Linked DNA regions of Ovis aries. The protein of the gene in region 1 interacts with the protein of each later gene in a pairwise test. Links are inferred from orthologs where the notes say so. Each region holds a gene or a part of one and is shown in the gene's direction. Other genes may lie near its edges. The genes, in order: CDR2, HDAC4, TRIM23, ENKD1, SH2D4A, CHIC2 and C1H1orf216.

Evidence for each region.
Region 2: the proteins of CDR2 (region 1) and HDAC4 interact in binary tests that used the Homo sapiens proteins (3 or more experiments, as listed by UniProt). The two-hybrid records come from large-scale screens. The link is inferred for Ovis aries from reciprocal best matches to the Homo sapiens genes CDR2 and HDAC4.
Region 3: the proteins of CDR2 (region 1) and TRIM23 interact in binary tests that used the Homo sapiens proteins (3 or more experiments, as listed by UniProt). The two-hybrid records come from large-scale screens. The link is inferred for Ovis aries from reciprocal best matches to the Homo sapiens genes CDR2 and TRIM23.
Region 4: the proteins of CDR2 (region 1) and ENKD1 interact in binary tests that used the Homo sapiens proteins (3 or more experiments, as listed by UniProt). The two-hybrid records come from large-scale screens. The link is inferred for Ovis aries from reciprocal best matches to the Homo sapiens genes CDR2 and ENKD1.
Region 5: the proteins of CDR2 (region 1) and SH2D4A interact in binary tests that used the Homo sapiens proteins (3 or more experiments, as listed by UniProt). The two-hybrid records come from large-scale screens. The link is inferred for Ovis aries from reciprocal best matches to the Homo sapiens genes CDR2 and SH2D4A.
Region 6: the proteins of CDR2 (region 1) and CHIC2 interact in binary tests that used the Homo sapiens proteins (3 or more experiments, as listed by UniProt). The link is inferred for Ovis aries from reciprocal best matches to the Homo sapiens genes CDR2 and CHIC2.
Region 7: the proteins of CDR2 (region 1) and C1H1orf216 interact in binary tests that used the Homo sapiens proteins (3 or more experiments, as listed by UniProt). The two-hybrid records come from large-scale screens. The link is inferred for Ovis aries from reciprocal best matches to the Homo sapiens genes CDR2 and C1orf216.

Annotation. Positions count from the first base shown.
Region 1 is NC_056077.1:20,572,059-20,576,212, reverse strand, and holds part of CDR2 (cerebellar degeneration-related protein 2), read left to right. Parts: exon of another isoform or gene 1-22; intron 23-2,108; coding exon 2,109-2,221; intron 2,222-4,154.
Region 2 is NC_056054.1:2,403,716-2,407,869, forward strand, and holds part of HDAC4 (histone deacetylase 4), read left to right. Parts: intron 1-940; coding exon 941-1,025; intron 1,026-1,954; coding exon 1,955-2,096; intron 2,097-2,518; coding exon 2,519-2,561; 3' UTR 2,562-4,154. UniProt on the Homo sapiens protein: Responsible for the deacetylation of lysine residues on the N-terminal part of the core histones (H2A, H2B, H3 and H4).
Region 3 is NC_056069.1:14,081,399-14,086,208, forward strand, and holds the end of TRIM23 (E3 ubiquitin-protein ligase TRIM23), read left to right. Parts: intron 1-1,359; coding exon 1,360-1,539; 3' UTR 1,540-3,945; downstream 3,946-4,810.
Region 4 is NC_056067.1:34,775,209-34,780,056, reverse strand, and holds the start of ENKD1 (enkurin domain-containing protein 1), read left to right. Parts: upstream 1-1,724; 5' UTR 1,725-1,784; exon of another isoform or gene 1,785-1,829; intron 1,830-2,010; 5' UTR 2,011-2,025; coding exon 2,026-2,110; intron 2,111-2,195; coding exon 2,196-2,396; intron 2,397-2,937; coding exon 2,938-3,110; intron 3,111-4,132; coding exon 4,133-4,258; intron 4,259-4,346; coding exon 4,347-4,510; intron 4,511-4,610; coding exon 4,611-4,747; coding exon of another isoform or gene 4,748-4,751; intron 4,752-4,837; coding exon 4,838-4,848. Other genes in the region: C14H16orf86 (uncharacterized protein C16orf86 homolog), read right to left, coding at 1-291, 393-640, 980-1,206, 1,400-1,504. UniProt on the Homo sapiens protein: Microtubule-binding protein which regulates microtubule organization and stability. Promotes the stability of astral microtubules and facilitates the proper orientation of the mitotic spindle.
Region 5 is NC_056079.1:37,576,054-37,579,296, reverse strand, and holds part of SH2D4A (SH2 domain-containing protein 4A), read left to right. Parts: intron 1-2,804; coding exon 2,805-3,025; intron 3,026-3,243. UniProt on the Homo sapiens protein: Inhibits estrogen-induced cell proliferation by competing with PLCG for binding to ESR1, blocking the effect of estrogen on PLCG and repressing estrogen-induced proliferation. May play a role in T-cell development and function.
Region 6 is NC_056059.1:70,246,259-70,250,412, reverse strand, and holds part of CHIC2 (cysteine-rich hydrophobic domain-containing protein 2), read left to right. Parts: intron 1-1,074; coding exon 1,075-1,131; intron 1,132-1,297; coding exon 1,298-1,357; intron 1,358-4,154.
Region 7 is NC_056054.1:10,673,699-10,678,421, reverse strand, and holds the start of C1H1orf216 (UPF0500 protein C1orf216 homolog), read left to right. Parts: upstream 1-1,530; 5' UTR 1,531-1,693; intron 1,694-3,882; 5' UTR 3,883-3,887; coding exon 3,888-4,568; 3' UTR 4,569-4,723.

The DNA of each region.
Region 1 (4,154 bases):
GTAAAATCCTCCTCCCTCAAGCTTTAGCTAAAACGTCTTCTAAGAGAGACTTCCATCATGACCTCCTTTTCTAAAGTAGAAAATCCTTTGTTCCTTATCACAAAACCTGGAGGTTTTTTTTTTCTTCTCTATCACATAGCACATCCAATTGATTAACAAATCCTTTTAGCTCTACTTTCAAAACACAGCCGGTATTTGCCACTTCTGCTCATCTCCAACTCTGCCGCTCTAGTCTAAGCCACCATGATCTCTCACCCAGGTGACTGCAGTATCCCTGTCATCCTGCCGCCACCTTAGTCTCTTTGGCCGACTTACCCAACGGCCAGAGTGGAGCTGATCAAAAGCCTTCCCTTTCACTCAGTGAAAACCAGCATCTTGATCTCTGTAGTTTGGCTTTAACAAGCTGGCCTGGAAGCCCTCTTTGTCTCCTCCTGCCCCAGCCACAAAATGCACGCAGACGCACGCGATGTGCTCAAGCCTCATTGGCTGCAGTCCTTATTATCGCCAGTCATGCTTCCTCCCAGGGTCTTTGCTCTTCTTTTCCCTCGGCCTCCAATGCTGGTCCCCTCAGTAGACCTACGTGAGGCACTTATTCAGTCCTTCACATCTGGAGTCTAATATCACCCTTGTTGCCTGTTCTTAAATTTCAGCCTCCCACGTCCATACTCCTCCTTCCCTCTTCCTTCCTTTTTTTTAAAAAAAAAAAAAACAACATTTTTTTGCTATCTAGTGTCTATTTTCTCATGCTGTTTCTCCCATGAGAGTATAAGCTCCATGAGGTCAGGGCGTTAGCTGAGTTCACTTGTATATCCCCAGAATGATGTTTGGTATTATTGAATATATGCATACATGTATGAATAGTGATTATCACAGTTTTCAAGTTTATTTACTTATTTGCTGTCTGACTTCCCCTGTAAACCTGGCAGTGTCAGGAAAGCAGGAACTTCATCCATTTATTCAGCATTCTAGCCAAATCTTAGCATGGTGTCTAGCAACAAAGCAGCAGTATAGTTTGTGTGGTAACTCAGTCATAGCTCACACTTTCGTTGTGCTATGGCAGTCAGCAACAAGGTCATTCACTTGTGAATCAATGAAGACTAATAACTTTGCCTGTGTACTGTTGCATAGTTTGTAAAGTACTTCCTTGTGTATTATTTCATTTGATTTTCACGATCGTATTGACAGGACAGTCATCTCTCTACACAAGAATACTACATGTAGGGATGTTTAAAGTCACTGTTTAAAGCGTTCACTTGGTAAACGGCAGCCAGAACTGAACTCCAAATTTTCCTACTCAGTTCAGTGCATTTTCCACTGTTATCAAAGGACCTCTCCAACTTACTATGCAGAAAAGTGTTTCAGGCACCTATGTTACAACTGTTGTCCTTTTTTGTATCAGTGAATTTTTGTTTCTGGGATTGTGTGTAACAAAACTAATGCTGTCATATATGCACATACGCCTAAGAAGAGAGAGTGTTGAAAAGCGAGGTTTAAAATGGAAATATGGTTCTGTGTTAAATGAAAGTCTGAGCTATGAGTGAGTTACCACACAAACTGTTCTGCTGCTTTGCTTATCTGGTTTGCTCATCTTGAAGAAGGCATGAAAATAAATAGAAAAAATGAGAGAGGCCTGCGGTAGTGTTCTTATCACTGATGTCATTTTCCTTTTTTTGGCTTAAGTTTTAGTACGCTGAGAAGGCCAGGGTCTGTAACACACTTGCTTTGACAGTTGTATTCATGGCAGCCAAACTCGTGGGACTTCAGGTTTGCCTGCACTTTGACAACTAATTATGAACTTAGATTCTGTCACAATGCTGAATGATCATTCCTAAACAAATGCATACACCTCCATAAAGTACATCACTATTCTTGACATCTTGTCAGTAAGGGTACCTCAAGAGTACAGTACCTGGTAAAAGGCCCCATTGTCACTGAACTTTAAGTAGAATCTGGGTTTCCTTCTGAGCCATTCCATCTTCCACTGGGATCTAAGGTAAACTTTGTACATGGGTTGGGTTTCAGTCCGTTCCTACTCTAAGCCCTGGCTTATGTAAAATGTTGAGATGAGATCGTTTGCACTCCCCTAATAGGATTTCTTGTTGTGCTAGACCTCCAACTTGCAGCTGAGCTTGGGAAGACATTGCTGGATCGAAACACAGAGTTGGAGGATTCTCTTCAGCAGATGTACACAACCAATCAGGAGCAGTTACAGGAAATCGAGGTAATTTACTCAACGGGAGAGTTACTTTTGCGGTATTGGCTGTCTCTGCTCTTATACCAATTGTATTCTACTTAAGTAACGCTTGCAATTAAAAGTAATGTTTATAACATAGACTTTTTAAGTATAAAGAACCATGGAAAGTGTATAGAGGTTGATTTTTACTGTCTTTAAGCTTTCTCAGTACATAAATCTGCTATGATGAAAGACATTTCTCTCTACCCCCTTGGTGAAGTCTACTTAGAAGTAAATGGTCCAGTATTTACCAATATGTGAAGCAAAGTAAAGCTGTGAATATTACATTTAGTTTTTTTTTTTCTTTTAAAAATGAATTATGTAATATTTAAGATTTGCAAAGAGGTACAAGAGAAAAATATAGTGGGTAGCCTTGTACCCACCAACCAGACTGAGAAAGAAAACTGTCTGTTGAGACTCCCTCTGTAAACCCTGCTTGGCTGCATCCCCTCCCCTTAACCAAACACCATCCTAAATTTGATGAAAAATTTTAAAATTGTAGTACCTGATATGAAAGATGTAAGCTCAAGGCTTTAAAATGGAAGTGCTGTCTTGTAAATGGTCCCATTAATGTAGCCCAACTATGTGTAGGCCAGGTGACTGTAAAGATGATAGTTATGGATATTAACCAAACAATTGTCCATCAGAACATTTCATGCCCCAGACTACCCTCCCACCTTAAAAAAGTCTTGCACTTAAATTGTAGCTCCTTCCTCTCAAATTGATACAGTAGAACCAGGACTCTTATAAGTCTCTGTGCAGGAAAACGTAGAAGACCTTAGAACGCAGAACCCATTCATCATGGTCAGAACTTACTAGGCTCTGATTGCACACTGAACCAGGTGCTAGAAAGGCAGAGTAGATGACATAGTCCTTGACTTCAGTCGAAATTACAGATTTCCGTTTTTGAATACAAATAAACCTGTCATTAAAACTAAGACAAATTTATCATTTCTGTATTCTTACTTTTACATAGTGATCATAATTAAGACGCATACAGTAGATTCCCCTCCCCCATCTCAGGGTTTATGGATTTAGCCAGTGATGTGACAAAAAATGCTTTTATAATTCTAGAAAGGTGTGCCTTGTAATGATATTGAAGTCGTCAGCTATCATTTTAAGTATATTCTATATCAGAAGAGCATAGAACTTCCCATACCTAAAGTTGAGTTTATCACTCATAGAATTGGGCAGAAACCTAAAAATGCAGGAAAACCAGGCATTTTAAAACTGTGATATCCAAGTGTCTTACATGATCAAGAAACTCATTCCTGTTTTGTTTTGTGGGCTTTGTTTTTCAACTGATTGGAAGGTTTCATAGCGTGATCCCAGGGCATATACCTGAAGATTATCATGTACTGTGTGGTACGTTTATTTGAATAGTCTTCATACCTTGTATTGGTGTTTTCCATGAAAGCACCTACAAATCACCATAACTGAATACTGTAGTGAATACTTATTTTAGCACATCTGCCAAATACAGATTTAAAAAGTCCAAGTATTTGTATAATTAGAGAATGATGCCTATTTGTTACTGTAAGGATTACAAACACAATTGCTTTATGATCTAAGTTACCTGTCTTTCTACTTTTGTTTTCCGTGGTATTGAAAATGATTAAACAATTAAAAGAGATCATTGACATTCTGAAAAAAATCCAAAGATCTTTGAGATTATCCAAATCTATAAATAACACTCCACTATCTAATGTCTTCTGTAAGATTTTTTTTCCTTAAAAATTGTTTGTATTCAGGCTTTCACACAGAGGTGGTACCATGGCCCCAGCAGTCACCTCTCCCCACCCCCTGACTCTTATAAGATATTGAAAAGGATAATAGAAATGAAGTATCCAGGTCAGACCTTAATGATTGAGTAAATATACAATCAACTATATGTATTAATATAAAGCTAATTGAGTAACTT
Region 2 (4,154 bases), on another chromosome or scaffold:
TAAACATGGGGAACGCTGGCTGCAGTGCACTTGTGAGGAGCAAGTACTTTGTGATCGGTTTAGCCCGCGTGCTGGGCGGCTCTGTGGCAGACACCCGGCGTGCCCTGTGGCCGTCAGGCAGGTGGGCCGTGTGCGCCTCCCCACTCCACCTGCGGCAGGGACTTCAGGGAGAGCTCGGAGCAGAGATGCTCACACCCTCTGTCTACCTTTTCTCTGATCATTGGAAGAAAACCCTGAAGGGCAGATGTGCTTGTCGCTCAGTTGTGTCTGACTCTTTGTGACGCCCTGGACCATAACCCGCCAGGCCTCTCTGTCCATGGGATTTCCCAGGCAAGAATACTGGACTGGGTTGCCATTTCCTCCTTCAAGGGATCTTCCTGACCCAGGGATCAAACCCACATCTGCTGCTTGGCAGGCGGATTCTTTACCGCTGAGCCACCAGGGAGGCCCAAAGTGGGGATATTCAAGCCCTGTCTATAAAACCCTTGTTGACAAGTGTGATGAAACTGATGTTTCCGAAAAGTCATCATCCCTTCCCCTGACGCTGTGCCGTGCATCCAGCGGTGGAGCCCATGCTGCCACCCCTCTGCGCCAGCTGCCTCTGGACACCAGCTAGTGTCCTGCCCACACGGGCACCCACGAACGTACCCGAGAGCCTCCTAGGGGAAACACCTTAAGGAAAATAAGTTTACTTCTGTGAAAACATTTATGTAATGCCACAACCACCTCTGGCTTTTTCAAGCTGTCTTCTCTGTTAGCACGTGCACGTGAGGAAGACACTGATCTGGACGTCCCATCTGAACACGCACGGGGATTCTATGATCCGGACGTCCCATCTGAACACGCACGGGGATTCTATGATCCAGACGTCCCATCCAAACATGCACAGGGACTCTACTGATGGCCTCGAACTCACCGTGTATTCTTCTTTCATCCCCAGCTCGATCCTCTCCCAGAAAAGGTCTTACAGCAGAGACCCAACGCCAACGCCGTGCGGTCGATGGAGAAGGTCATTGAAATCCACAGTAAGTTGCCTGGCCCAGGGCTCAGCAAGGAGACCCCCCCCAAGGGAGGGGCCCGACTCCACAGCCCTTCTCCCACCCCCCATACCGCCCCCACCCCCTGCTTCTCTCTCACTGCCAGCAGCGTCCCCAGGCCCGCCTGTTGAGACCTGGCTTTCAGGGCGAATGTGATGAGCTGGTGACTCTCCTCTCACCCCGCTTGACGTCCCAACAACCTGCCACAGCCAAGTCACCAGCTCTGCTTTGTGGGGCAGAAGCGCTGTGGTTCAGGGGGTGTGTGAGGTCCCTTCTCCAGGCTCCCCACTGACAGGCTGGGACCCGCATGGAAGCCTGTGTCCTCGGGTCTGGCCTCTGCCCTTGGACCAGCAAACCCCACTCCATCAGTTCAGGGTACCCTTGGCCCAAAGACCAGCCCTGCCCCTCGAGCGATGGGGCCCAGGAGCCCAGGGGCTGCACACGGACTTCTGCCCCGCCTTTATCCTGGGTCTGCGGGGTGGCCCAGTCGCCAGTGTCCGTGTCCATGGGCGGGACCCAGGGTCTCCTGCTGTGCACTGAGCTCCTGGCCTCCTGAATGAGGAGCCCTGAGGCCCAGGAGACACCGGGAGGCTGCCTGCTCCCACCCCCATCATCTCGGGACTCCAGCAGGGAGTCAGGGAGTGCTCGTCCCAGCCGCCCCACCCTGAGGGAGGGACCCTCCCTGGAGCCCACCCCCACCCAGGTGTCCTGCCCCTGAAGGGCCCAGTTCTCCTGGTCACGGGGAAGCTTTTCCAGACTGCCACCCTCTGTGAGTTTCTAACCAGGCCACCTCGTGGCTTCTGTCTCTGGAGAGCGTGGTGCTTTGGAGTCACCAGCGATGGGTGCTGCTGGAGCCCCGTGGGCCCAAGCACAGGGATGGGGTCCCGTATCTGAGCAGTCACCCGCCCCTTCCGCAGGCCAGTACTGGCGCTCCCTGCAGAGGCTCGCCTCCACCGCTGGCTACTCCCTGGTCGAGGCCCAGAAGTGTGAGAACGAGGAAGCCGAGACTGTCACTGCCATGGCCTCGCTGTCTGTGGCCGTGAAGGCCCCTGAGAAGAGGTGAGCACGGACACTGGCCGGCGGTGGGTGCTGCCGCCATCTGCGGGTGACCCGGGTCTTTGCTCCCGGGTGTATTGGGGGCACGTGCTAGCTCAGCAGGGCGGGGAGTGGGTGAGCTCAGCAGGGCCTCACCCTCGCCCCAGGGCAGACTGCACCACACCTCTTCCCAGAAGCAAGAGCCTGAGAAAGACTTGAAGGGCGTCTGGGCCAGAAGGAACACTTCCCTAGGGGAAGAGTGGGGGTCGCTGAGAGTTGAGGGGGCGGGGGTGGCTAGGAGTCGGGGCGGGGTAGCTAGGAGATGGGGGTGGAGGTGGCTCGGGGTTGGGGGCGGGGATGCCTCGGAGTTGGGGGGCAGAGATAGCTAGGAACCTTGCACATCCACCCTCTCCTCTGTTGCCACCCCGCCCGCCCGCCCGCCCCAGCAGACCCGACGAGGAGCCCATGGAAGAGGAGCCGCCTCTGTAGCCGCTCCCGCAGCTGCGGGTCTCTTGTTTGTCTGTCTCCGTCTTGAAGCTCCGCCGAGAAAAGTTGCTGCCGCCCTGCGTCCTGCCGGCCTCCTCCGAGCCCGCGGGCGCGGCGGGGCGAGCCGCAGCCGGCGGCCCTCTGCCTGCCGGACCCGGGCAGACGTCGGGACGCGCCGACACACGGACGTGCGGGAGCGGGCGCTCCGGGCCCCGCAGGGCAGCCGCGGAGGGAGGGAGCCCGCGGGGGCTCGGGGCAGAGCCGCCTGCCGAGCGAGCCGACCCGAGGAAAAGAAAATGAAAATCAAAGATCTCACGACACAAAACAAACTTGATTAAAACTGGTGCTTACGGTTTGGTGATTCCCCACAATCCCACAGTCTCCGTGTAAACCACTCAACTCATTCTGTAGCTTATTTCTTTTCAGAGAAGAGTCAGCCGCTCCGGCGCTGGCCTGCCCCTGCGCACCGCGGGTGCGCGGTGGGGCTGGGACACGGAGCGGGCGAGCGTTTAAGGAAAAAAAAAAAACTGGACAAAAGCAGAAATGTGAGCCCGTGCGGCTTTGGTTTCTCAAAGCCGACGGAAGATGCGCGTTTGTGCCTTTTTTTTTTATTGCTCTGATGGATTTTTGTGGCTGGGTTTTCCGAAGTCCGAGGAACAATGCCTTAAGAAAAATAAACAGCAGGAGTCGGTGGGACCGCTCCCTGTGGCCGGTGGGGCCGGAGGCCGGCTCGCACTGGCCTGGCGCTTCACAAGTGGTCCCCGCCTCGGCCAGCAGCTCTGGAGGGCTGAGGTCCTGCCACCCTGTTTCGCTTTATTGCTGTTGAAGAAAAATGGAGGTAGTTCCAAAATAGTGGCAAATACTGTTGGGGGTTTCGAAGTCCAACAAATTTTAAATGAATCCAAAGTGTTCTTTTTCTCGTACATCATATAACAATTGAGCATCTCCATTTGGTTGTGAAGCATGTCCTAGGCACACTTTCAGTGTTACGATCGGAATGCTTTTTATTAAAAGCAAGTAGCATGAAGTATTGCTTAAAATTTTAGGTATAAATAAATATATATATGTATAATATATATTCCAATGTATTCCAAGCTAAGAAACTTGATTCTTATGAAATCTTGATAAAATATTTATAATGCATTTATAGAAAAAGTATATATATATAAAATAAATGCAGATTGTAAAGGTCCCTGGCGAATGAACGGCTTGTGACTCAGCTCTCAAGGTGCTTGTGGAAAGGGATCTAGTTTGAAGCTCATGTTATTTCTGAACTCCAGATTGGAGAGCTTTCAATCACAGGTTCGCCATGGGACACCTGCCCTGCAAGATTGTACCTTCATCTTAATTATTTTCTGACCTGACCCCTCCCCACTCCAAGCCTCCATGCACATGTGTACCTGATAAGTTTTTATAGCAAAGGATATCAATTTGCTGTTGATTTTGTATGAATTTTTTCACAAAAAGATCCGGAATAAGCATTGTTTTGTGAATTTTACATTTTTTCTCACCATTTAGCAGTTTTCTGAATGGTAATAACGTCAACCTTTTTCCTTTCTAAACTTTTGCTTGTACATTTTTTTAACTTTGGAAGGT
Region 3 (4,810 bases), on another chromosome or scaffold:
GTCATGTCCGACTCTGTGCGACCCCATAGACGGCAGCCCACCAGGCTCTGCCGTCCCTGGGATTCTCCAGGCAAGAAACTGGAGTGGGTTGCCATTTCCTTCTCCAATGCATGAAAGTGAAGTCGCTCAGTCGTGCCCGACTGTTAGCGATCCCATGGACTGCAGCCTACCAGGCTCCTCCGTCCATGGGATTTTCCAGGCAAGAGTACTGAAGTGGGGTGCCATTGCCCTCTCTGATGTTACACCTACAGTGGAATGCAATATAGAAGTTAAAAATACTGGTGGAAAGTTTTTTCTGCTTGTTCTGATAATGGAAATGTATCTTTATTTTTCAATATATGTGTTAAAAAAAAAAAACCTAGGGTGTGTACTGTTCATTTACATGAGTGTGCGTGGAAGTTTTCTGGAAAAATATGAAAGCAATTGTTACTGTTGGTTGCTTCTGGGAAGAAGGGTATTCAGTGCTGTTTGGAGAGTTTTTTGTTGTTGTTGGCCATGCTGCACAGCTTGCAGGATCTTAGTTCCCTGACTAGGGACTGAACCTGGGTCCCCGGCGGTGAAAGCATTGAGTCCTAACCACTGGACTGTCAGAGAATTCCTTGGGTGAGTTTAATAAACTCTTTATAAACCCTACGTAAGAGCCATTTCTTACGATACATGTGTATTAATTTCCTTTTAAGTAGATGCCTTATAGTGAGATGGGCAGTATTTTTTATTCAGGGGCAGAGCCTTCATTGATTTCATTGCAAGACTATTGCCTGGTGGTCCAGTGGTTAAGAATCTGGCTTGCAGTGCAGGGGATGCTGGTTCGATCCCTGGTTGGGAAACTAAGATCCCTCATGCTGTGGAGCAGCTAAAACTGTGTGCCAGGACTAGAGTCCATGTGCTACAACGAAGGATCCCACATGACACAATGATGATCCTATGAGCTGATGCAGCCACATATTTTTTTTTAAAAGACTGTTCTTACAAACTGTTATTACCAAAACAATTCTTTTTCTATTCTCATTAATCTCTGAATGATTATTGAAAGTTGAATTTAGGCTTCTGTTAAAATGATACCAGGGACTTCCCTGGTGGCTCAGATGGTAAAGCATCTGTCTACAATGCGGGAGACCTGGGTTTGATCCCTGGGTGGGGAAGATTCCCTGGAGAAGGAAATGGCAACCCACTCCAGTACTCTTGCCTAGAAAATCCCATGGCTTCTCTGTCCATGGGGTCGCAAAGAGTTGGACATGACTGAGCGACTTCACTTTCACTTTCAAATGATACCAGCAGAATTGTATATAGCAATAATTACAAAAATGCTAATTTTCATAGACTTATGCAAAAATTTTTTAATGTGTATATATCTTTTAGGATGTTGCTGGAGCTCTGTCAGTAGAAGAAATCACTGAGCTTCTTAGTCTCCATAAATTGTGCTGTGGCCGAAGCTGGTATATTCAGGGCTGTGATGCTCGAAGTGGTATGGGACTGTATGAAGGATTGGACTGGCTCTCACGCCAACTTGTGGCTGCTGGAGTGTTGGACGTTGCCTGATTTTAAATGTAGCAGTTGTTTAAAGTTTTGTGGTTAAGAGTTATTTTGCACATAATATGATGTAAGAAATTCTACATCTGAAAGTTAATTTACAATGTATATATTAATATAAAAGGAGTCTTGGATTGGGAATTCAGTACAATATTACTTTTAAAAACTAGTAAAATTTAAATAGCTGATTGAGCAGATTAAATTGGATTGAACAGGGATTTACTGGGTATACATTTTTTTTAAACATACATTTGTTAAGTTTTTCAGATTACACGTGTACACACAGATTATTTAGCACACACACATGCACATTCTACTTACTGTTGGTACTACTGTTATGAAAAACTGGGATCCATTAGTATTCAGTCCAGCATTGGGAAGTAAGTAGTCACAGTGAAAGAGCAGGTGAAGGTTTATTCACTCAAGGAAGAATAGCCAACCAAGTGTCTAGTGAACCAGAGGTTCTGTTGAACCTCTGTATGAAGTGAAGCATGGCTTCTTAACTTGCCTTTTCACTGGATTTTGGCAGTATTCGGTAGCAAAAAAGGCAATGACTTAATGAAATAAAATCCAAACTGCATCTTTGGATAATAGGATTACTTTAATGTTCAGTATAACAGAACATCTTTAATGCTAAGAACTATAAGCTATAGAAGATTAATATTTTATACAGTATTTTATTAAAGCTCTCTTAAAGCCTTTTGTATAAAACCCAATGAGTTAGACTGAAATGTAATCCTACTAGGCCTGATATCAGATTAGTACTACACTGAAGAACAATTAATAAAAAACTGTGAAAGTCAGTTATATTCTAGTTGATCTTCACTTGTGAAAAGACTGATTTGCAGAGCTGAACCTGGATATATTATTTCCAAGGTCAGAGTTCTAAATTCGTCCTTCTATTTTTCAATATAAAGTACCTAGTAGTACTTTTTATTATTTTAAAAATAATATTGCATCTTTAAGGAGAATGACTATAGGTAAAATGTAGTAAGTTACATACAGAAGCCAGTGTTGGTCTTACATAAAAGGTAGAGATCTAAGTAGAAATTATCTCTACCTCAAGAGAAGTTATTTAAGCAGTAGAAATGATTACCTTAAAATGTTTTCCCAAAATAAGTGCATTTATTTAAACAATAAAATGTGATCAAGGATTTTCATGACAAGGCCTTAAGAGGTTTTTTGAGAGAAACATGTCTACAAAAGGAAAAGAAGAAATGTGTAACAAATTTGTATCACATTTATTACAGGGTTGTGAGTAAAAAAAGTGTGCGCTCTTTACTGTTTTTCATTTTTTAAGGAAACTCCCTTATGGCAGTCTAATTTTATATTTAAAAATACCTAGATTCGGTTTTATAGGTTGTTTTTTTTTAAAATGCTCTGTATACTTTAGATGAAGTGCTTCCCAGGGGGCTCTTTCATAAAGAATCTACATGCCATCGTAGGAGACACGGGTTCAGTCCCTGGGTTGGGAAGATCCCCTGGAGATGGGAATGGCAGCCCACTCCAGTGTTCTTGCCTGGAGAATCCCATGGACAGAGGAGCCTGGTGGGCTACTGTCCATGGGGTCACAAAGAGTCAGGCATGACTGATCACATACTTTAGGATGAAGTTAAATCCTTATGATGGCTGATGACAAGATGTGACTTCTGGGTAGCACTGTTTTGGTTCAGTCTCTTCAAATATAATTCGTTTAAAAACAACAAAACTTTTAGAAAACAAAGCATTAAAAGTCTGTCAGTTATGGGCAGTGTGTAAATAAGTAAATGTAATATTTCATCCTTTATTTTTCAAGTAAAAGGTCATGCTGTTACAAGTGTAGTTTGTGCATATAATACTTCTGAATTAAATTAATATTTGATTGCAGTAACTGTGAAAAATAAAAGTATTACATTTGCCTGTGATCCCTTGAACTGTTTTGTCTACTAGGTAATTCAAAAACAGTCTAACACTAATGTGTAAACTTGCTTTTTTCTGTAAATTTATTTTACCTGTTTTGCTTGACTTTTAAATCACATTCCTAGCATATTTCTACAACACAATTTAAAAATTGTGCTTAGACCTGATTATAATGTATCTAGTAGTAGTATTTATTATTTTTTCAAGAATTTTTTTCAGGCTCTTATTTTTATCTCTGGTTGTACTTTCACTAATTATTAGCAAGACTGCGCTAGTTCCCTCTGGGAAATGTCAAACTTCAGAGGTTTTAAATACAGTCTATTTGGATTTGCCTCCTGGCACTGAATTTCTGTATTAAGCTAAATACTATTGTATAGTTTATGTCAAGCAGGTTTTTCAAGTGTATAGTCTTGGTCTATAATTCTGGAATGCTTTATAATCACCACAAGCCATTATTTACATTATACAAATCATCAGTATGGATAGCAATAAAATGTTAAGATCACTTTAAAGAAATCCTATCATCTTTCTAAAAATTCTTGAATCATCCTGAATCATCTATATAGCAGTATTGCTAGTAACCAACTAAAGTCATATTTGTGCTGTGGTTAAGAGAAACAAAACAAAATGGGATAGGGATTGAATGTCAAATTGAGATCGTTTATTAAAAATTTAGAAATGTTATTTTTTATTTGCAACTTAAGTCACATTTAAATGTATATTAAAACTGTAGTGTTTTTTAAAGGAGAGCTAAAATTCTACACTGACTAAAGTGAAATAATTGCTTTAAAAATTTTAAATTTAACTTGTTTCACACAGAATATCATATTTTAAATAGCTGTTTTCAGAAAAGGCCTTGGGAAACCTCGTTATATCCTGAGCTAACATTGCTAAAAGAAAGACTTTTTATGTAACACTGAGATACTTCTCAATTTGCAAGGAGGTAATAAGGAAGAAAATAGCTATACTTTTCCCTATAAAGAGTAATAAATGAAAAGAACTAATGAGTAAGTATTAGTATCTTGCTAATAGTTTAAAACATGCTTTAAAATAGACATATGGCAATGTATGTTTTTGAGGTCTGATTATGGTAAATTTGTGACATGGAATGGAAAAATTCATTAATCAAACATGATTTCCCTCAAAGCAAAAATAAATTCTATTTTGGGGAGGATGAGGCATCACCACCACCATTTGTTGGCAGTTATTACCCAAAATTTAGGATTAAGCTTTTATGAATGAATTATAAGTCTAAACACCTAAAATTAGGGAAAAAAGATAAATGTTATAGTGCAAAGTGTCATTTTGTGTCCCGGTTTTAGTTCTTTTTACAAGGAGGACACAATATTACAGTTAAGGCATGTTCTTCCATCAGTTTGTG
Region 4 (4,848 bases), on another chromosome or scaffold:
AGCTGGGCAGACCCCCAGGCTCCTCACTGGCTTCCTCCCCCAGGGGAACCAGAGTGTGGGTCGGGGGCACAAACATACTGGGGCAGGGCAGAGTGAGGTCGGAGCCCAGCTCACCTGCCACTGGCAGCAATGCCTGCAGTTGCTCCACACCCGCCTCCTCGGGGACCACTGTCAGCTCTGACTCAGGCTCCACCTCAGCCTCAGCCTCCCTGTCCCCCTCCCCTGCCTGGTTCAGTTCAGGGTTGCAATAGTTGATGTACTGGTACAGGGGCCGCAGGCGCTGGGCCTTTCCTACAAGAACCCAGGGCAGGGCAATGACTGGAGTGCCAAGCTGGGCTGTGTTGGGTCCAGCTGGCTGGGACAAAAGGGAAGGCTCAGGAAATGCCACTCACGCTCAGGCCCCAAGGTCACTGAGGGTGCCGACACCGTGCTGGCCACCACTGGGAGCACTGGGGTTCCCAGACTCTTGCGCTTCTTGGTCTTTTTGTGCTGTTTGGCAGATGGTGAGGGCTCATTCTGATTATTCTCCGGCTCTTCCCTCTGCAGCGACAGCCCCTGTGGCAACTCACTCTCTGCCCTAGGATGGGCTTGGTGGCTCGGGCCTGTGAGGCTGGGGAACAAGGAGGCCTGAGGAGCCAGCCTGCAGCCTTGGCTCCTGTGCCCTGTCCTAGGGAACAGTCCTGCCTGCCTACCTCCCCAGGCCGTGATCCTTGTCCTTTTCCTGGTCAGTGAGGCCCTGGACTGGACAGGGACCCAGAGATCATGGGAGTTCAGTCCCCTACCAGGCCTTGAGACTTTTGCTCTGCATGTTCCCTACATCAGGGCTCTGGAGGGTCAGCAGAGGTGAGGAATGATGGTGGTGTCAGGGGATAAGGATGGACACTACTGTAAGGCCCCATTTAAGAATCCAACTGGGGTATGAGCCACCCCCACACCACCTCCCCAGTTCCCAGTCTCTTCCCTCTGAAAGCCCCCTCACTTGACCGGCTTCCTCTTCGGACCATGACTGGGCCTCACAGTGGAGGCCGTAGGCCTGGGACCTCTCTCCTCCAGGGCCTCCACCTCTGGTTTGTGCCTGTCTTCCTCCAGCTTGAGTCTCTCCTGGATCTTTGGCTCTGAGGTGGATCTTATTGGACATTTATCTTCATCCTGGGTTTGGCAGGCCTCATGGGCTGGCACCAGGCCCTGGTCTCCCATCACTGGACACTAGCGGTGACACACAGGTAACTGGTCACCATGGCCAGGTAAAGGATACAGGGACCAGCCATTAGACTCTAAATACTCTGGATGAAGGGCACCAGCCCATGCCCCTCCCAGCCTGTGGAACCTGGCCTGGCAGTTTTGGTCTATTAAAGCGCTATGACCCAAGTGTTTGAAGGTTAGACAGCCCGATGGTCACCTCAGAATTCTGAGCATGGCCACCAGGCATCTCTGTAAGCTGTGACTGCCCCACGGCTGCCCCTTCTTGGGCCCCTGGCCGCTTCTCAGCCCCTGCGGAGTCCATAGCTGCGGCGGATCAGCACTTCCTCGACGGTTGCTTGAGGGGCATTGGGGATGGAGGGCGGATCCTGAGGGGCCAGACTAGTAGACCCTGAGCGGACCCGGGAGAGGACCGGATTGGGAAGGGCAACTGACAGTCGTTCTGCTCCCCCCTCAGCTGGAACTACAGGCCCCAGAAGGCTTTGCGCCAAGGCCATTGGCCCCTGACCTCACGGACGGAAACCATTGTTGCCTGGCAACAGCAAACCCGTCGGGTGGCGGCAGTGGGCGGCAAAACCGCTCTGGTGAGCCCCTTGCCCGAGTGAGAAGCCTGCCAACGGTACTGAGAGGTGGGCTGAGAGCAGAGGTGGCGAGCGCAGGCCGGGGCCGGGAGGCGGGGTGGGGGCCGGGAACGCAGGCAGGGCACGGCTGAGGTTAGGACCCGGGGCCAGGGAGGAGGCACTGGGCTGAGAAGCCGGGTTTGGAGCCAGAGACGCGTAGCCCGGCAGGCCTCAGGTGCAACGTTTGCAGGACGGCGGCGGCGGTATGTGTGAGGGTCCGTCCCGCATCTCGGGGCCCATCCCCCCAGACCCTACGCTCTGTCCGGACTACTACCGGAGGCCGTCTTCGGGTGAGTTAGGGAGTGAAAGCGGCCTGGCAAGGGTCGGGCCCAGCTCCACCACTGACTCCGCACTCTGCCCCGTCTGGCCTCTCAGCCCAAGGGCGCCTTGAGGGAAACGCGCCGAAGTTGGACCTGCTGACGACGGATACGGACCCGGACCTAGACGCCACCCCTCCCCGCGCCCCTCGCATCCGTCCGGGAGGCCTAGAAATCCTGGAGCGTGGCCGTCGCGGCGTGGGTGGTGTGCTGCTGCAGCTCGGGGGTATCTCCCTAGGCCCAGGGGCCTCTCCCAAGAGTAAGTTCTGGTCAGAACGGACAGCGAGGCGGCTCTGAAGTCAAAACAGATAAAAAGACGGCTGCTTCCCCTTCCCTGCTCTGGGCTCAGGCTTTACCTCTCAGAGTGTCTGTTTCCCCAACTGTAGAAGGAGCGGGAAATGCACGACTTCTTCGCAGGAGAGGACTAAATGAGGCATACCCCGGAAAAGCCCGTAGCTCAGCTTCATGGATTTATGCATGGTTGGTTGTTGAGTGTCTGCTGTGCTCCAGGCCCTATGGGTGCTAGGAGAACAAGGTCGAAGAAGCGCATCATTGAATCAAGGTGGGAGACAGTAAAACAAGTGAAGAGGTGAATAGGATATGCAAGGTGATTACTAGTATACTTCATAATCAAATATGTATAAAATCATCAGAAACAGAAGATAATTATGGTGTGAGGACGAGAACAAGGTTATGTGGTGGACTTTAGAGTATGTCAGGGAGGCAGGGTGTGGGCTTGTGTGTCCACTGGGGTAAGTTGGATTGTATGGGCTGTATGTAGGGCAACATCTTTTCTCCAGGGAAGGACCCTAAAGACCATGAGAAGGAGAACATGAGGCGGATCAGGGAAATCCAGAGGCGCTTCCGTGAGCAGGAGCACAGCCAGGAGCAGGCCCAATCCAGGCCCCTGAAGGCCCTGTGGCGCTCACCCAAGTATGACAAAGTGGAGTCGCGTGTCAAGGCTCAGCTGCAGGTACCTGCCTCAGGGAGCCCCAAGTGTTGCCCGTCTTGTTGGCCAACAGGACATTATACTCTGACTTGAGTTATGAGGAGGGAGGAAACCCACAGTGGGCTGAGGTCACAGGGGATGAAGAGCTGGTCCTGCTGCAGAGTGGGGCTGTGGCCTTTCTCTGAAGTGATGACAGCTGGGTGATTCTGAGGGGCAAGTCGGAATTAGGCAAGGGGAGAATAGAGGAGAACATTTTATAGAAATGGAACCTTGTGGTTCCAGGGTCCCTGGTCCTAACACCAGGGACTTAGGAGTGTGGGCAGTGGGGATGCTGTGTTCAGTTCACTATGAGGGAGGAAGAACATGAGGTTAGGCTAAGAAGTCAGCTGGACCCACATCATAAAGGGCCACATAAATCCATTTTTTTAAACCTTTATTTCTAAGGACAATGGGAAGGGCAGGGGTATGTATGGTGGTAAGATTCTATCTGGGGTAGCTAGTGGTGCCACTTCTCTTTCCAGGGGTCTGAGAAGGAGAAGTAGGACAGAAAAAAAGACAAGGTCATATGTGGGTGTGTTGAAGCTGAAGCTTTTGTGGGGCTTCCAGGGAGTGGGAATGTGTCCAAGAGGCAGATGGAGAATCAGGTCTGGATCTCAGAAGTGAGACCCAGGAGCTATTGAGGACGAGGCTGAGGATAGTGAAACCAGGGAAGTGACCCTGGATTTGGGGGCTTGGAGACCAGCTGTTGGTGGCCTTGGTAGGGACAGAGCCAGAAAGCTTGACTAGGAAGGAGAGAAAAAGAGAACGATGACTGAAGCCAGGACTGAGGTAGAGGGAGGGAAATATGTTTTCTGAGAGATGTGAAAAACACACAGGTTTAAATGCTGATGTGATGGAAGTACTTATTCAAGAGGAAGGAGGCCAGGTCCAGAGGACTGGTGATAGAGAAAGATCCTGAAAGACAGGAGGGACAGAGGCATGGTCTTACAGCTTGAGACCCTGACTTCAGCCTGACTGACCACCCCCCGCTCTGCCTTGGCCTCCAGGAGCCCGGCCCTGCCTCTAGAACTGAGCCAGCCCACTTTCTGCGGGCCCATTCCCGTTGCGGCCCCGGGCTCCCACCACCCCGTGTCCCCAGTCCCCAGCTAACCCTACCAGGTCCCAATGCTAAGGTGAGAGGATATGTGGGGGCTGGGAGGTGGGGCAGGGATTCCGGGGCACCACACAGTGCTGTTTCATCATGCTGGCCATGTCCCGCAGGCCCCAGGTCTGGGTGTGGACTTCATTATGCACAATGCCCGCACTGCCAAGAGGGCCCCCCGGCGGCATTCTCGCTCGCTGCAAGTCCTGGCACAGGTGCTGGAGCAGCAACGGCAAGCCCAGGAGCACTACAACGCCACGCAGAAGGGTCACGTGCCCCATTAGTAGGTCCTACTGCTCCCCCCACTCCTGGGAAGGGGCACTTATGGAGGGTGGAAGCCCACGTCTGCCTAGGGTCATCAGCCCTGGGTCTGTGCATCACAGCTTGTTGGAGCGCAGGGACCTGTGGCGGCGGGAGGCTGAGGCCCGTCAGCACAGCCAACCAGACCCAGCCATGCCCCCTGGCCACACTCGCATGCCTGAGAACCAGCGGCTGGAGACACTGAGCAGTCTGCTCCAGAGTGAGTACGTGGGCAAGGGGAGCTGGCTGGGGAACCCACCAGGTACTATGCACCCCTGCCCAGCATTTACTGTTCCTGGGGCCCCTGTAGGCCAGAGCCAG
Region 5 (3,243 bases), on another chromosome or scaffold:
GGGTGCTTGCAGACGGTCTGATTTGCAGCTACTCTATGACCTGACTTGAGGAGGAATTTGTCTCATTCTGGTTATAATCTTCCAGAATGGCTTTGTTCTAGGCATCAGACTCCCTCATGCTGAAATCCAGATATTAAAAATGACAACATCCATACCGTCTGTTGAAGTCACTTGGAATTTCAGAGTCAGCCTGTCAGGAAGGAGAAGAGAAATCTTTCCAGGATGAAGTCACTGAGCAATCCCCTGGGTTTCAGAGAGCGTCAGACCCAGAGTCTTCACATCGCAGCCCCTGCAGGCCCTGGGCAGGCTGGTCACTGGTGGCCTGGGTTCAGCCTCCAATGCCCGCAGTGGGACCGGGTGTGTAGAAGGTGAAACGGGCAGGAAGGAGCAGTTGCCGCGGGGATGCTCACGTGGGTATTAGTTGGGCGCCTGACATGGACACCCGGCAGCGACCCCAGGGGCTCCTCAGTCACAGCGCCTGCTGTGTCCAGCACCTCAGTCTCATCAGGAAAGGGCAGGAAGGCGACTGGACTCAGCGGCCTGCGGGACGGGGTCCTGGCAGAGCCTGGATGCCAGAGGAGCGGCCGCCTGCTTCTTTCCTCGCAGGCGCGTTTCCTGTCCATGAGGGGCTGGCCGCAGGCCCTGCTATTGCCCCGCGTCGCCCTGGAGCTGAGCCCCCACACCCAGACGTGCGGGTTCAGGCCCAGCGGGGGAGACGAGGCCCGGGGAGCGGATGATCTCTAATCCTCCCTTCTCAAAGGTCTGCTTACAGAAAAGAACACAAATGGTTTCATTTGACGTTTTACACTGGATCCTTAGGTTTAATTCTCAATTAACTTTACTAACTTTAGTCTTGTCAGACTGAAGAGCTGTGATAATCCATTGCCTTCTCACCAGGAGGCCTTTGGGTTTCTCTCTAATCGTAATACCGAATGTCAGCATGGAAGAGGCAGGAGGTTCCATCTGCTGACGCAGGAAACGTTGCCCTCTGGCCAGAGCTCAGAGCAGCTGACCATCCTGCCAGCACGTATCTGCACACTTCCTCTCTGTCTTATCACGTCGTGGGCTCACCTGAGGAATTACAGATGAGGAGGAGCAAGCAGGGGAACCGGGAGCATGGGTCAGACCTGAGCAATCAGTGTGGACTAATTGGGGAAGGCTGGTCTTGAATTCCTGTGAATTCATGAGGCATCCAAACTATGCGTGTGTAGCATAACACGTGTGTGTGTGTGTGTTTGAAGAGTGGCATCCTTTTGAGCATCTGTGAAGACACAGATAGTACGCATATACACACATGGGGCTTCCCTGGTGGCTCATCTGGTAAAGGATCCGCCTGCAATGCAGGAGACCTCAGTTCAACTTCTGGGTCGGGAAGATCTGCTGGAGAAGAGATAGGCTACCCACTCCAGTACTCTTGGGCTTCCCTGGTGGCTCAGACAGTAAAGAATCCACCCGCAAGGCAGGAATCTGAGTTCGATCGCTGGGTTGGGAAGATCCCCTGGAGGAGGGCATGGCAACCCACTCCGGGGTTCTTGCCTGGAGAATCCCATGAGCAGAGGAGCCTGCGGGCTACAGTCCATGGTGTCGCAAAGAGTCGGACATGACTGAGCGACTAAGTACAGCACATATACACGCGTGTGTGCGCATGCCTGCATCTCTTGCGTCATTCCGTTAAATGAAGCCTCATTTAGGAGTAGTCACAGCAAAGGACACTGTCACTAACTCGCTGACCCCTGACCAGGGTGCCCGCCTTCGGCACTGTCAGCCTTTGGCACTGGATCACTGTCTATAGTGAGGCTGTTCTGTGAGCAGTGGGAGGTTTGGCAGCATCCCTGCCTCCATGCACTGGAGAAGACTAGAGCCACCCCCACCCCCCAGCCCCGGTGTCTGAGACGTTTCCAGACATCGCTCCAGTGAGAACTCCCACTGCAGATCTTGTAGGATCATCCCCAGGCCCCAGGGTCCCCATCAGTCAACTTGGGAGAGCTCACCCTCCCAGGATGACTGTCAACGGTCCTACCCCTCAGAAGCCACATGACGCCCATGCTTGTCACTGGGTGGAGACGTGTTCTGAGGGGCGAGCGTTCCATTCGTACTGCATACGCGGCAAGTCGCTTCAGCGGGGCCCAACTCTTTGTGATGCTATAGACTGTAGCCCGCCAGGCTCCTCTTTCCATGGGGATTCTCCAGGCAAGAATATTGGAGCGGGTTGCCATGCCCTCCTCCAGGGAATCTTCCCCACCCAGGGATCAAACCCAGGTTTCTTATGCTTCCTGCATTGGCAGGCGGGTTCTTTACCTCTAGCACCACCCTGGGAAGCCCTCCATTTGTACTACACATTTGCTTATGGAACCTACCCCATCCCAGAGAAGGCAATGGCACCCGACTCCAGTACTCTTGCTTGGACAATCCCATGGATGGAGGAGCCTGGAAGGCTGTAGTCCATGGAGTCACTGAGGGTCGGACACGACTGAGCGATTTCACTTTCACTTTTCACTTTCATGCGTTGGAGAAGGAAATGGCAACCCACTCCAGTGTTCTTGCCTGGAGAATCCCAGGGACGGGGGAGCCTGGTGGGCTGCCGTCTATGGGGTTGCACAGAGTCGGACACGACTGAAGTGACTTAGCAGCAACCCCATCCCAGGTACCAAATACCAGATGACGAACCACAGTACTGCTCCAAGGAAACCCAGTGTGGACTTAGGGCTGCTCAGGTTCTTACTGGCTTTATCCACACGGCTGTGTTTAGCAGAGGGAAGCTCTGGAAATGATGTGGCTGAAACCCCTGCCCTTCTTTCCCACAGGAATCCTCACCGTAAACAGAGCGAACGAGCTTCTGAGCACCTGCGTGCCGGGCAGCTTTCTGATCCGGGTCAACGAGAAGGTCAAGGGCTACGCCCTGTCCTACCAGTCTGAGGACGGCTGCAAGCACTTCCTCATAGATGCCTCCTTGGACTCATACAGCTTCCTGGGCGTGGACCAGCTGCAGCACGCCAGCCTGGCCGAGCTGGTGGAGTACCACAAGGTGCGGCCCCGTGCACACGTCGCTCGCTCGGTGACGGGTGTCCTGCAGCTGCTCTGACAGTGAAAGGCGGTTCCACGGAAGACAGCTGAGACGAGCAGGGGAGATCAGCCCCCCGCTTCTGTAACTCCTCCCGATAATAGTGCTCATGCTCAATTGTGTCCGACTCTCTGTGACACCACGGACTGTAGCCTGCCGGGCTCCTCTGTCCATGGGGATTC
Region 6 (4,154 bases), on another chromosome or scaffold:
AGCATGTTCCACATGCTAGAAGGTAATATGGTAACTAGATTACAGTAGATACCTTAAATAGATATTAAACATTTTATTATGTAACATTAGAGTATTCAAAATCAGCTTGGTCATAACAATTTTTCACCTCACTCATCCTTGCTTGATAGTCACATTTTCATATTTGATGATTAGTACTTACTTAGTTGTGCCACATTAATGGAGCTGGATGCTTTTTTCCTTTCCTTGCAAGGAAGCTGCAGCTGCAGCAAGTTGCATTTTCTTCTTGTGGCAACACTGTCCTGTTTGCACCTGCAGCTGTGTCAGTCTCATCCTAACACCTGGCACCATGAATTATCCTCCTCTTTATTCCTCCCCAAGCAAGAAACATTTCATGCTGCATAGTGTACACTGCAAAAATCAAGTGACCTTCTGTATAAATTTCTTAGTTGATACCTTTAACAGTAGTATTGAATAAAGTTTGATTTTCAAATGAAACCAATTTTATTTGAAAACCAACAAAAATGATTGGATTAAATGCAGTTTTGCCTGTGAAAATCTTTGTAAAATAATAAATAAGCTTAGTTTTAAAATTTGGACATTATTTTTAAGTATGATATAAAAATTAGTTTGATTTGATATAGATTGATATTTTTTATTAACTTTTAATCATTTCCTTTTTAAATTTAGACTAAAGACCCTTTTCATTTTGTTAATGTATAAATAGCTTTGTTTTAAAATATGTATTAAGGTATTCTTATTACTACTAAATATTACGGAAATATTTTTGAAAGAAATGGGGATTTAAATTTGTATTTTTTAGTGGATAACATTAGCTTTTTAGACTTAAATAAATCAGAGACTAGTAAGTATGAAACAGTTAAAAAATACAATGCCCCAAACCATATCTTTATCAAAACAGAGTCCTATTTCTGTTCAGGCTACTATTTAGTGCTAGAATGTTGCTAGTGTTATAGACCACTCTATACTCAGTCACTGTCTTATATCTCTTTCCTTTTCACACAAAAAACAGCTGCAAAACCACGTTTTTCTAAAACCAGTCAGGAGTAAACTTTTTTCTCATTTGTCTTCTAGACACGAAGATCGATTGAGAAGTTATTAGAATGGGAAAACAATAGGTTATACCACAAGGTGAGTACCACGGGGAGCAGCTTCGTACTGTTGAGGTCTGAACTGCACAGTATGGAAACAGATGCTTTTGTTGAACTAAAAATATGAAAGATGGACAAATGGGTTAGTCTGTGTGCTGCAATAAAATAGAGCTCATTTTTCTTCTTTTACTCTCCTACTTGTCTAGCTGTGCTTGCACTGGAGACTGAGCAAAAGGAAATGTGAAACGAATAACATGATGGAATATGTAAGTTAAAGGGCTGTTTTGTGAGTTTCTCTATTAAATGATCATTTATTTTGCTTCTGATCTTATTCTTTCCATGATTATTAATCAGCAAAGGTGTCAGAAGCTTAATCTCCTGAGTGCAAGGATTTTTTACGGTTCACAGATGCATGGTTTCATGTGCAAGACTGATTTATAAAGTTATGAATGACTTGAAAACAAGGCTTCACTGTGTTCTGAAAAATAATAAATTAATTGCCAAGATAAAATAGGCTGAACATGTGTTGATGGAGTGTGAAATTTTAGATGCTGTATAAAGAATAACCACAACTTTGGTTACGCAGCAAGTCAGATATGGCTTTTTTATATAATGCTAATCAGGTTTCCAAGTATGGAAGAAAACCTTTCAGCCAAGCCACTGGAGCTTAAGAAACCTTTAGCCTTTATAGATTTTAACTGCCCATACCTCAGTGGCCTTTAAAGAATCTTTCAAAGTGTTGTTGGGATATTATTCTGTAAAAAGTATCTTAAAAGTAAACAGGAGATAAGATGTTGCTCACCCAGTAATTTATTCTTTAAAAGATATCTAATGGGTATGTGTATACAGTCAGTTTTAGAGCTTAGAATGGGATTTAATTTACCAGCTACTTGCTTTACTTGAAAATTTTTTCTCAGTTTGAAAAGTTCAGAATACTATAGAAAAAGTGTGAATTTTTATTCTCCCTTGAGCCTGGATGTTTTGTGTTAAGTATGAAAAGATTAATATATGAAAAGAAGAAGAACTGAGCATGGGGTTGAGTATCTAGCACATCATTTCTGACAAATTTTGTCTATTCTTTGACACAGAATAGCCATCATAGGTAGCATGTGTGTGTGTGTATGTGTGTATAAAAGATTAATGAAAACAGTGCCTGGATACTGGAAATAGTTGGAAATTATCATAAAATCATTTTTCTCTGTAGCATTTTCTCTTTCTTTCATTATCACACAATCAAATCCCATTTCTAGCCGTGAACATAAAAGATGTCTTTAAAATGTCTCTTTTTTCATAGAATAGCTCTATTCAGTGAACTAAATAATGTAGATTTTATCATTATCTATTATATCAAACATGTTAATTTATGATGGTAAAAAGGCACTTGATACTTTTGTATAATAATAAAAGCACATTCGAATAACTTGTTTTGAGATTGACCTATGAAAATACTAGGCTTGTATTTTCATCATAGATGAAAACTCACTGGTGAGAGAGTTTATGTATTTTGTGAGAAGAAATGGATATATAAGTGATTTAAAGGATTTTGTGAAAAAATATTTGCTATATTTATAAACCCAAACACTCAGCTTATTAATAAAATAGAAGCTTTTATTTATTTATTTAGCACACTTCTAAATTTACTTTGGAAAGCAAAGCATAAAAGTATTCCCAATACTATTATTTCCAGATAGAACTGTAAGATCATTCATAAAATATGCTCATTCTCTTTAATGTTTATATTTATGATGTTGTAGTATTAATTAATTGGCAACCCACTCCAGTATTCTTGCCTAGAGAATCCCAGGGATGGGGGAGCCTGGTGGGCTGCTGTCTGTGGGGTCACACAGAGTCGGACATGACTGAAGCGACTTAGCAGCAGCAGCAGCAGTATTAATTAAAATAATGTAACCTTCCAAAACATTCTGAACTTATATGCTCTGTAAAATATGTGCTCTTATTGCTCTGTTAAATTGTCATTAATTTTTAGATAAACAACTTTTGTACTAAAGCCATTATATTTTCTTACCATCATAGAAAATATCTAGAAGAGTAGTTTTTTAAAAACTTAAAAATTACTTTAAAATGTATTTTTCTTCAGTTTTCTTGGAGTGTGTATGCGTGTGTGTATGTGTATTTATGACAGTTGAGTGGAGGAAAAACATAATTTTAAAAACTCCCTACAAATAGTTTTGCAAAGTTAAAATAGAAATAATCTGTATATCTGTATGACTTCAAATTTTCTTTAATTTACAGAAATTTCATTTGTTAGCTAAAGGGAAATATTTCTCCTTGACTATGTTTTGAATATTGGAGTAAATTTATGAAATAGACCAAATTTTCTTTTATTCAGATATGGCAGAAGAAATGAGACAAATGGTTAACTTCTGTGTATGGCTTCTGAAGGGAAAAAGTTTGTAGGATATATTCTTTTAAAACTAGTAATAATTCAGATAGTCAAAGATATCTTTTACTATTCATTGTGCAATATAGACTGGAAAATATAATTTAGTCATCAAATTTTAGAGCTAGAAAGAAATCTTGCCATCTCTCCAATCCTTTCATTTTATAGGTGAGGACACTGAAAAACAGAGGATTCTAGCTCAAATAAAGAAGCTGGGTAGGAAGCTAGTGAACATTTTGTAGGCAAATAATAGGTCAGGAGAGTAACACAGGGGCACCAAATGATGAGTCAGCTAGGGGAGGAGTATATTGGAGCCATGTATAGAAATACCTTCTTTTTTGAGGCAGGTCAAAAATCAGGAGAACTAAAGAGTGAAAATGAAGATTTGTGGCTCAGATGACTAAATGTAGAAAAGTACCCAAACATAGAGGTCATATCAAGACAGTTTCTAAAAAGACTGAGGAGTTCCTCAAACTGGAAAGTGTTTAAATTGAATAATTTTTTGTTTAGCATCCATTCCGTACAGAGTTGAAACAAGGGGGAAAATTGATTATAATTTAAGACAGTTCCAAGTTTGGAATAAAAATTAGCTCTGGTCAACCTGTGTCTTTCTGTGTTAACTGTGTTTTGTTTTTTGATTGATTTCCATTTAGTTTCCTAGT
Region 7 (4,723 bases), on another chromosome or scaffold:
CGAATCTTTGTTGGTAGAGTAATGTCTCTGCTTTCCAACACACTGTCTAGGTTTGCCATAGCATTGCTGCCAAGAAGCAATCATCTTCTGATTTCATGGCTGCAGTCACCATCCATAGCGACGTTAGAGCCCAAGAAGAGGAAATCTGTCACTACTTCCACATTTTCCCCTTCTATTTGTCATGAAGTAATGGGGCTGGATGCCATGATCTTAGTTTTTTTAATATTTAGTTTTAAGCCGGCTCTTTCTCTCTCCTCCTTTACCGTCATCCAGAGTCTCCTCAGTACCTCATCACTTTCTGCCATTAGAGTGGTATCATCTGTATATCTGAGTTGTTGATATTTCTCCCACCTATCTTGATTCCAGCTCATAACTCATCCAGCCTGGCATTTCCCATGATGTGCTCAGTATATAAATTAAACAGAATGACAGCAGACAGCCCTGCTGTGCTGATTTCTCCATCTTGAGTCAATCAGTTGTTCCATACAGGGTTCTAACTGTCACTTCTTGACCCACATAAAGGTTTCTCAGGAGACACTTAAGACGTCTGGTGTTCCGGTCTCTTTAAGAGCTTTCCACAGTTTGTTATGATCCACACAGTCAAAGGCTTTAGCATAGTCAATGAAACAGAAGTAGATGTTTTTCTGGAATTCCTTTGCTTTCTCTATGATCCAGTGAATGCTGGCAATTTGATCTCTGGTTCCTCTGCCTTTCCAGGGTTTTTAAACGTATTATGATTGAAAGATGAATCATATTTAATTGGTGGCATGGAGGGGGTAGCATGAGAAAGGTATAAGCAAATTGCTGGGTTTACTCAGTAAAGCTGTGGGTATGGAAGGGACCTCCTGGAAGCTCACTTGCCCTAAAGGCTAAATTTGTCACAGACGTCTTTCCGGGGCTGCCTCTCCCTGAGGGCAGCCAGTGCTTTTTGGTTTTATCATTAGAGTCGGCAATTATTCTGTTAATTAAGTGACTTTAATGAAATAAGCACAAAACGAACATATAATTTCAAATTGTGGAAAAAAAAAAAAAAAGCCTTGGGATAATATAATAAGGGGAACTGTCTGCTTAGGAGGTCAGAGAAGGTTTACCTGAGAAGAGATCTGAGATTTGAGAGGAGAGAGAATTTTAAGCAGAGGGAACAGTGCGGCAGAAAGGAGCGCGAGGCTGCTCAGCTGCAGAACCCAAGGGCAAAGGCTGAAGCCGGAGAGCAAGATGCTGAGCCCCACTGCGGCTTGCCTTAAGGATTTAAGCGGTAATGCGGAAGCCACTGATGGCTTTTAGGCTGGAGGGTGGTGATGACACGATCAGATTTTCATTCTGAAAATGTCACTGTGAGGCAAACCGATCGGGGAGACACAGTGAATGCAGTTAAGAAATTAAACAGGACCTGCAAGTCTCAGTCCAGGCTGCCGGAGGCGGGGGAGGAGGTTCCGGCGCTCGGACCTGCGAGCGGCTTCGCAGAAAACCGAACCGGCCCACGTGGGCCAGGCCGCCCCGCCCCGCCGCGCTGACGCCGCCCGACTCCGCAGTCCAGGCCTGGGCTGGGCGCAGCGCCCGGGAACCCGCACCCCACGCCCCGACCCGCGGGGACGCCCAGGCCGAGGGACCACCTCCCCAGCCCCGAGGGAGCAGTTCCTGCCGCGGGGACCGAGCCACCGGAGCCAGCCGGGCGGGGCGGCGCCTCCAGGCCGTGAGTCGGGGCCGGAGCGGGAGGGTTTAGACCCCAGCCGCAAGGGGCGGGGGTCGTTGCCTCTGCCCAGCTGCTTTTTGCTGGTCGGGGGGGTTGGGGGGAGGATTAGGGAAGGATGGTCTGGATCCTCTGTCTCCTGGGGATGGTATCCCTTTCCCGCAAGTCTAGGCAGGAACGGAAGCCGCCTTCGCTCATCCCTACCACCACCCCCCAGCCCCCCCACCTCCCACCTTCACCATCCCCGCCCCACCGCACCCACCCCCGACAAATTGCGGATTAGCTTGGCGAGAAGCCTGATGCCAGGGTCTCTCGGCTCCCATTTTACCTTCCCTGAGAACCCCTTGATCTTTAGCACCGCCCCCACCTCCTTCCAGCTTGCTTCACGGCCCCGCCCAAGTTTAGAAAAAAAGAAAACATTTGGGCGGGACCATCTCCTGGCACCTCGCTTAGCGGGATGGAGTCTGTAGGTTTCCAAGGGACTGTCCCTACACCGTTGCCCCCAGGACTTCTTGCCAGTACTGTGCTGGATGTGGGGAGGGGCCCTGCCACATTCACTGACACTCCCCCTTACTCTTACTGATTCCGTTTTTCTAATCCTAGTAATTTACAGTCAGGAGAAACTTCTTGTCAATTTAAATTCAGATCTGGGGAGAAGTCGGTTATTGGGAAGGAAAGAATAATGTGGTGTGTCCTCTCTCCATGGCCTCAGGATGGAGCAAGATAGAGGCAGGGACCCGGGATAGTAATAAACATGGAAGGAAGGGGTGAAGCCAGAAGAGAGGCTTGTCAGTGGGAGAAGGGCTTCCTCACTGGGCAGTGGAGGGAACCCAACCCAGCTCTCCCAGCCCTGAGCTGTCAGCAGCCCGGATCCAACTGCCCTATTCACTCACTCAGCAAGGAGGTACTGCCACCTGCTCAGTGCCAGGTTCTGTGCTGGGTCCTGAACATGGTAGAGGTTATAGAGAGGAATTCCATGTCCAGTAGTGGGGCCAGGAGGCTGCTATGACAAGATAGAGGAAAGTTTATAGACATTTACTGACCATCAACTATGTGCCAGGGACAAGAAACGAACAGGCATAAGACTGCATGTATCCAAGCAGTGAGGACCCAGAGGAAGGCACAGTTGGCTGTGTGTTTGTGTATACAGGATACAGGAGCAGCGGGGAGAACGTCAGGATGGTTTCAGGAAGGTGGGGATTTTAGAGCCGAATCTTAGCATACAAAGACTTCCCTGTGGCTCTGCTCTGTAAAGAATCTGCCTGCAGTGCGGGAGACCTGGGTTCCATCCCTGGGCTGGGAAGATCCCCTGAAGAAGGGAAAGGCTGCCCACTCCAGTATTCTGGCCTGGAGAATTCTGTGGACTGTATAGTCCATAGGGCCGGCTTTCACTTCACTTAGTGTATGAAAAAGAATCTGCCGGTGGAAAAGGGAAGAGCTGGGAGGGAAGGGGAGAGGAAGTATATGTTGGGCCAAGGGGATTGTGGAAGGAGAATAATGGTGTGTTCTGAGATCTCTGAGCAGTTTGGGATGGTGGGAGGGGCTGAGAGTGGTAAGAGACAGGTCTGAAGCAGTGAGCAGGAGCCAGAAGAAACACAGCCTCTTAGGCCAGGAAGAGGTTTAGCAGGAGGTTAGGGCAGGAGCCATGACAAATTTACATTTTAAATTAGAGGCAGAGAGGTCAGTGAAAAGTCATAGCAGTCAGTAATCCAGTTTAGAGGTGGCCCACACCAAGAGAAAGGGGAGATGTTTGCACACGAGCGTGCACGTGTGAATGCCTGCAGTTTCCGGTTGCTGTGACAGGAGAGTGGGCCTGCTTGGCTAAGGACACTGAACAGGGAGCAGGGCAGGCCGTGCAGACTCTGAGGAGCCTGTGGTTGGTTGCAGAATTCAGCAGCAGTTGGATCTGACTCCCTGTCAGATCCGAGAGCCACCAACACATGGAAGTTCTCGAACCTCCAGCAGAAGATGAGGTCATCTGGGGAGAAGTGCCTACAAGGAGAGGACAGCTTGCCTCAGGGCCGAGGGAGAACCCTGTGAGGAGACTGAGAATCGGCAGAGAGGGAAGAGGACAGCCACCAAGGGAGGTGTTAGCAGAGTCAAGGCAAAGGGGTGTCTGTTGCTAGGTTCTCTCGACTTCAGGCGCCCTACCCTCGCCTGCTCTGACTCATTCTTCTGCTTCCCCCTTACAGACCAGATGTTCGCCATCCAGCCAGGGGTAGCTGAGGGGGGTCAGTTCCTGGGGGGCCCGCCTCCTGGAGTATGTCCACCCGAACTTCAACCAGACAGCAACTCCAACTTCATGAGTGCCAAGGACGCCAATGAGAATTGGCACGGGCTGCCAGGCCAAGTGGAGCCCGTACTATTGAGGAGCTCCTCCGAGTTGCCCTCTGACAACCAGGATTTCCAGGCTCCTGGACTCCCTGAGGGGGAGATCCGCAGCCCACCGGAGGGGGCAGAGATTCCTGGAGCTGGGTCTGAGAAGACGGGTGGTGCCAGCACAGTCTGCTCCCCGCTGGAGGACAATGGCTATGCCAGCAGCTCCCTGAGCGTTGACAGCCCTAGCCGCAGCCCTGAGTCTGCCTGTGGGACGCCTCCTGGCCCTCCAGGCCACCTTCTGCCCTCGGTGGCCCAGGCCGTGCAGCAGCTGCAGGCTCAGGAGCGCTACAAAGAGCAGGAGAAGGAGAAGCACCACGCGCACTTGGTGATGTACCGCCGCCTGGCCCTGCTCCAGTGGATCCGGGGCCTGCAGCACCAGTTGGTCGACCAGCAGGCCCGTCTGCAGGAGAGCTTTGACACCATTCTAGATAACCGGAAGGAGCTTATCCGCTGTCTCCAACAGAGGGCAGTACCATCCAGGCGCCAGGACCAAGACTAAGGGTGTCTCTGTACAGGGGTGCAAGGGTTTCTGTATATATTTGCAGACATGTGTGTGGTTATGCACAAACAAGTACAGATCATTTGCTGATACAAGTGCAGGGAAGCATAAATGAGTGTGTCAGTGCTAACATGTAGGCAGGTGTGCACAGGCCA